Arabidopsis thaliana: one gene and its partner. The protein of the gene in region 1 interacts with the protein of each later gene in a pairwise test. Each region holds a gene or a part of one and is shown in the gene's direction. Other genes may lie near its edges.

Region 1 (3,320 bases):
CTTTAATTCTTTCTTAGACCCGTTACGTTATCATTAACAACACTTTTTGTTTACTGATTCTAGAAAGATTACGGCAATTCTATTAGTCGAAATAAAACACTGCAATTAGATTAAAAAAAATCTCGGATAAAAAAACAAGTATGTTGCTTTGTTTGGAGCCCTGAACTCTGGCTCAAATGTTTAACGTGGTGTGTTTGTAACACTTTGATCCATTGACTATGAGTTATCGGAAAAGAAGATCTGTTGAACAAAAGGCAATTGATAGGTTTTTTAGGACTTGTGTTTTACCTTTTACGGATAAGATAAAATGAATTGATTATAAGAAGTTTGAAATACGAAGAAGACCGGCAAAGTAAAGAACTAAAGATAACCAAACAAATGGGGACAGGAACAAAACATCAACAATTATAACAACGCGTTTTTGACATTACTTCATTTTTAATTTATCAGAAAAGCGATGTATATGTTTAACTACACACACCTCTACCTTCTTCACGCGTTTTCTGCAATTTCTTTACTTTTTTGTTATTTAAAGACTACGATTGTCTTTTTTTCCACACTAATTCAATCTCTTTTTCATTTTAAATTAAATCTATATATACATTTTTGCAGTTATTTTGTGAAATAAATCCTATAGTTGAGACTTATTTACAATAGATATATACATTTTTTCAGTTATTTTGTGAAATAAATCTTATAGTTGAGACTTATTTACAATGGCTGCCATTAGCTTTTAATTATTGATTTTTTTCTATCAATAAATTAATTAACAAACTAAAAATATTCCAAATATATTCAGCAACTATTTAAAACAAAAAATGTTTGACAAACAAAAATATAATTGCAATCCCTTAAAATGAACAAAACACACCTAAATACATTCTTTATCTATCCAATAAATCTTTTTTCTCCAAAATTTGAACTAGATTTTGACAACTATTTAAAACAAATATTTGTTTGACAAACCAAAATACAATTGCAATCCCGTAAAATATTTATTTTCATTATATATTTAAATTAGCGGTGTACCGCGGTTTTTTTTACGGGACGGATTTGGCGAGACGGGTTTGATAGGACGTCACTTAATAACAATTGTAAACTATAAAATAAAAATAAATAGATTTAATTTGTAAACTTTTATATATACTAATTTAAAAAATAAGTTGTCCCCGCAGTATACCGCGGGTTAAAATCTAGTTGTACATATTTATCCTTCATTTATCATGGTTCATACACTTAAATGGATTCTGTAAATCACGGCTTTTTCTACGTTTAACTTGTATTAGGTGAGATCCTTTGGATCTTAATTCGTCATATAAAGATTATTCATTTAGAGATGTACATTTATAAGATTTAAGAACATAATATGTAAATAAGTATAGTGTTCAAATGTAAATATGTGTATATATTTTTGCTCAGTGTAAAATCTAATTTTTAAATGTGATTATTGTTGAATAGAAGAAGACTACAAATATTTTTAGAAAAGTCATGTTTCTCTATAAAATCGTTGTTTTCTTCTTTGTAACGTTCCATTTTAATTTACTTTCTCCAAAAAGTAAAGGATTAAAAATTAGATTCAACGGTTGTATAGGCGTGAAAAAGAAAAAATAATTTCCGGAAAAATATACTATTTAATAATTATAATAAATTCTCTCTCTCTCCTCTATAAAGACAAACAATCTCCAAGTTTCTCTGTATCAACAAAGCTCTGTTTCAAGCTCTCTGTTTCTCAGATCTTCTCTCTGTTTTTTTCTTCTCATAAAATAAGAGTTGTGATTCAACAGTTATGGTGAGAATATTCCTTCTCTACAATATACTAAATTCGTTTCTTCTCTCTTTAGTACCAAAGAAGCTACGAACTCTTTTCCCTCTTTCTTGGTTCGACAAAACTCTCCACAAGAACTCACCACCGTCTCCGTCAACGATGTTACCTTCTCCATCATCTTCTTCAGCGCCGACGAAAAGAATAGATCCGTCCGAGCTCAAACGCGTTTTCCAGATGTTCGACAAGAACGGTGACGGTCGAATCACAAAGGAAGAGCTCAACGACTCGCTTGAGAATCTTGGAATCTACATACCAGACAAAGATCTGACTCAAATGATCCACAAGATCGATGCTAACGGTGATGGATGCGTCGACATAGACGAGTTTGAGTCGCTGTACAGCTCGATTGTGGATGAGCATCACAACGATGGCGAAACAGAGGAAGAGGATATGAAAGATGCGTTTAACGTGTTTGACCAAGACGGAGATGGGTTTATCACTGTGGAGGAGTTGAAATCTGTGATGGCTTCCTTGGGACTCAAGCAAGGGAAGACCCTAGATGGTTGTAAGAAGATGATTATGCAAGTTGATGCAGATGGTGATGGTAGAGTCAATTACAAAGAGTTTCTTCAGATGATGAAAGGTGGTGGCTTTAGCAGCAGTAATTGATCTTTAACTAGGGTTTGATTTGACAGAAGAGAAGTGTGTTTATTCGATTGATTGGTTTGTTTTTCTTGTTTTTCCTCTGTAAATAAATTTTCTGATGACAAATCAAAACATCGTGTAATCGAGGAAGGTGTGTAATCTTTGTTTTTTAGGGTATCTCTGAGCTTATGTAAGATTCACCTTCTCATCTATTCTGATTGTTAAGTGTTCTTAAGTAGATTGTTAACTGTTTCCTATCAATATAGTATATTGCAGAACCAACCACATTCGTATCAATCTAAAGGCAAGAGTTAAATCCATGTCCTCTTCTACTCTATGGTTACAAAGTTCCTCACATTACATTCCATAAAATAAGATTCAAACCACATCTAGATTACACTTAAACCATTTACGATCGGGAAAGCTTCACCAATTCAAAGAATATACAGCCGCACACATCAATAGTTGGCTTAGATGGCATCTTGTTTACTTCGCAATAGCGCATGCTCTAGATGTTCGAACTCCTTCAAATTGTTCACTACATTCTCAACTTTCTTTGCTATCTGATTACTATGCTCTTCAACAATCTTTGCAAAAGCATCTAACTGTTCCTTGTACGCTGCACATAACCGCTTCTTGTTTCGCAGCTCTATCGTCAGTTCTTGAATTCTCTTATCCTTCTCGTCCTATAACAACATATAATTTACCAAAATGGTTTCATACATTTGTTGCTCAAAATACGTAATGTTACACTGCACAGGGACATAAGTTAAGTAAGTTAAGTACTCACCAGGGTATGGCGAGCCTCGCGAGGTGAAACAACGAGTGGATGGTTATGTTCTTTGACGAATTTGGTAATGACCCATTTGCCAGACCGGTCATACTTAACATGAATCATAGCTTTGCAACC
Region 2 (3,759 bases), on another chromosome or scaffold:
AAGAAGCAAAAGAAAAAAAGTTGGCCAAAGTAGAAAATGGTTGGGAGGAAAATGACAAGAAGAATGTTTGAAGGGAAGCACATGGATTGGTTTGTTTGGATGATTATTGAGATATATAAACCCTTTTTTCATGCCCCCCACTTACCTCCCTTTAAGGGCTCTTTTTATTTGAAATGGAAACTTTATTACATCCCGAGAATATAGGGTGTATATAAATATATATAAGGGATGGTCTTCTTAAACGTTTGATTTGATTGTATGCATAACAGAGTTGTAATTCAATGATAAATTTTCAATATGTTAAATACAAAAATCTTGCAAGGACATGCCTAACCATAATATATAAAAGAGTAATCTAATCAAAGATCATATTCGTATGTTGTTATATTCAAGAAAACTTGCATGAGGTTTTAAATATTCCTTGGAAAAAAAGTGAATATGAGAAAAGGGAGTGACAAAAGGGTTTAGGAGAGATTTTGGTGGCTTGGGAGATGGTGAATTGGAGCCACTTCTTTGTCTCTACGTCAAATCTTCTCAGTGGAATTTAAAGTTATATTATTGGCATTCAATTAAAAATGAAACACACATTAAAGAAGAGTGTCAAAAGTTGTTAATGGTTTCTATAAATTAGTTGATCCACTTTTAAGTTTTAACTTCTTATGATTTGGCAAGGAGGAAAAAGTATATAAAAAGTGGGCCTATCTATTGATAAAAAGACAAATGGAGTTCAATAGACTAGGGAATAATGATATCAACATATATGTATGAGATGTGTTTTGATTGATAAATAATTGTGAAAAAGACCACTCATTTTTACACAAGACATTCTCTCTCGATCTCCTCGTTTTCTCTCGATCAAAATGCTACTCTACGCTCCCTTCCCATAATGAAAACATCCATGCATGTACATTATCATATTTTTACTAATTTAGGGATCGAAAAGATTAATTTATAAAAAAGTAGAATACTATATACGTATCAATTAATATATGTGTTCAATGCAAAGCCGATGCAAACTTATATATTTCCTATCGTGATAATCTTATATAATAGATATTAGTTGTGTTTGATATATATAATAATTGCAGTACATATAATTCTTAACACCCATATAATGTAAAATTTTCTGATACAATTCTAAACCACATGTGTGCATTTTGAGTTTCACTTCATAGTCGGATTCTGCAAACTCCCCACATTAATTGGTCCACAAGGTACAAAACTTATCTCACATATATTCACCAATATATACAAATGTCAAATGCCTTTATAATGTATCACTCTTGATTGTTGATATTAGATAAGAATGTTGATATCATTACAAATGAAATGATATATTAGATTAAATTGGTAAATTTATTGTTACACCTCTAACAACGAAAAAAAGTGAGACAGTATAGCTACAAAACGGAGCGGGTTGAAAGAAAGAGGAAGTGGACAATGGGGATACAAAGTTTGAAAGGCACATCAAAAGTGGTGGGAGCAAAAGTTTGTCGTCAAGTAATTGGAATATAATGGCATGCATACACGAAAGCTGAAGATGCTACGACGTTTAGGATTTGGACTTACATTGTTTTTCTTCCTTTTTTCAGCTTCGGTATCTGCGATGTTATCGATAATGCTCTGATTTGGTGATAACCCCAATTAGATAGATGATTAACATAATTAAGTGGGATCGGATGAGACAAAACATATAGTGTCTTTAGATTAGTTGAGAAAGATTAGAGACAACGCGTGCCATTTCTGGTAAAACCATTACAACCACTCCACGTAAAAAGAATACATTATGTTTGTTAAATTTTCACATTTCTAATTTCTTACCCTCCATTTTGTAGTTTTACTACATCTCTACTATTTATATCTATTTTTATCCTATTCATTCTAAATTTGGATACTTTTACTGTTGACTGAAACTTGTAGCCTAGTTGTTGTTTCTTTTCACATGTACTCATGTATACCCAAGCTTAATGAAATTTTAAAGAAAATAAACAAGCGGTTTAGTTTTAATTTAATGGGCCGTTTCTTTATTTCAACGAAGCCCAATAGAGCCTGTTGAAAAAGGGTTTAGTTATTGTTGTTTACACATAAGGGCTTGAGTTTTATTTATTTCACGAAACGAGTAGAAACTTTTGTTTTATCAAAATCAGAACCCTCCTCTTTTACAGATTCAGGCCAATTCTAAATTCCCATCGTTCGTTCAATTTCAGACGTTAACCTCGGCTTGAAGGCTTCAAATTTCTGTGAATCCACGACGGAGATTGTAAGTTCCGATCATACTCACGACGATCTCATTCTATATGCACTAGAATCTTTTCCTCCTCCATTGATTAGATGATATGTTTATCCAGAACATGATGGATTCAATTAAGGCTTTTATTTTGTTGATCTGAATGGTACTGAGTTATGAATTGTTCGAGCAGATTGGTGAATTACGTTAGAATCAGTAATCAGCAAAAGGGTTAATGGAAGGAGAGAAGCTTATAGAAGATCGCGGCTTTTTGGCTGCTCCTCTGACCTTCGTCGTCGTCGTTGTCTTCCAATTGCTATCCAAGTGGCTTGACCAATTGAAGAAGGTAAAAAAGATAATACTTTTTGGCTTTTTTTCATATCCACATGAATCATCGTTTTGAATTATGGAATTTCTTCAGAAAGGGTCGAAGAACACGAGGGAATCAGAGCTGCGAACCGAAATTAAGCAGCTTTTGAGAGAGGCTAGTGCATTGTCTCAGTAAGCCATTTTGTTGTCACATTTTGTTTTGGTTCTAGTGATTTGAGTTAAGGAAGGTGCAGTTGTTGAAAAATATATATATGAGTGTTGTTGATTAGAGATTTATCTATTGTTTACTTGCAGGCCAGCCACATTTGCGCAAGCAGCGAAACTTAGGAGGTCAGCAGCTACTAAAGAGAAAGAACTTGCACAATGTGAGTATGCATACATTATTAGTTCTACATTGATTGCTTAGTGAGCGTAGAGTTCATGAAATTCAGAAATATGATTGATTGCTTAGTGAGTGTAGAGATCATGAAATTCAGAAATATGATTGATTGCTTTGTGAGTGTAGAGTTCATGAAATTCAGAAATATGATGCAACAGTTAGTTAGCTTTAAACATGAATACTATCTGGTAGCAGATATTCCTACTAAAGCACTGCATCATCATGGTGTAGTATTGGTGTGTGTGTGTATTTGTTAATTCTCATTTTGAAATTTTAGATCTGGAGCAGCATCACAAAGAAATCAAGCTTTCATACGATATGTATGGGAAGGGTCTGCTTGCTTCGAAGGTAGCTTAGTTTGTGTGCTCAAGCTTCTTCTTTTTTTCCGTCTAAAACTCCTTAATCGAGATGTGCTAAGAACTTTGTTTCTAGGTTGTGATATACCTAATCTTGGTATTGTGCTTCTGGAGGACTCCAATTGCCATTATCGCTAAGCAACTTGTTCAACCGTTTGGTGAGTAGTTTACTTTTACCAGGTTAAAGCTCGCTTATGGTATATAACACATAGGAAAAAAATGAATGTGGTGTGTTTCACAGGGACTTTGTTATCTTGGGGAACAGGAGGTCACATGACAGGCCATGTAATGGTAAGTTCCTTCTTCTCAATCCATTTATTTGGGCTTGTTCTTGATTGAGAGTGTTGGTTGGGTAAAAATGCAGGTCGGGATCATACCGTGGCTCATACTCTCAAACAGAGTGAGCAAATATGTGTGTAGGTTCGTGGAGTTCTAAATCGCATCCCTGAAAAGAGTGAAGATTGGAT

Evidence for each region. The genes of interacting proteins can lie anywhere in the genome.
Region 2: the proteins of MSS3 (region 1) and AT4G16444 interact in a protein complementation assay, tested with the Arabidopsis thaliana proteins (one large-scale study listed by BioGRID).

Annotation. Positions count from the first base shown.
Region 1 is NC_003071.7:17,990,422-17,993,741, reverse strand, and holds MSS3 (Calcium-binding EF-hand family protein), read left to right. Parts: upstream 1-1,694; 5' UTR 1,695-1,786; coding exon 1,787-2,434; 3' UTR 2,435-2,690; downstream 2,691-3,320. Other genes in the region: AT2G43280 (Far-red impaired responsive (FAR1) family protein), read right to left, coding at 2,881-3,096, 3,201-3,320. UniProt on the Arabidopsis thaliana protein: Potential calcium sensor.
Region 2 is NC_003075.7:9,274,760-9,278,518, reverse strand, and holds the start of AT4G16444 (tail-anchored protein insertion receptor WRB-like protein), read left to right. Parts: upstream 1-2,071; 5' UTR 2,072-2,260; intron 2,261-2,420; 5' UTR 2,421-2,462; coding exon 2,463-2,573; intron 2,574-2,648; coding exon 2,649-2,728; intron 2,729-2,851; coding exon 2,852-2,922; intron 2,923-3,213; coding exon 3,214-3,284; intron 3,285-3,368; coding exon 3,369-3,450; intron 3,451-3,533; coding exon 3,534-3,583; intron 3,584-3,656; coding exon 3,657-3,728; 3' UTR 3,729-3,759.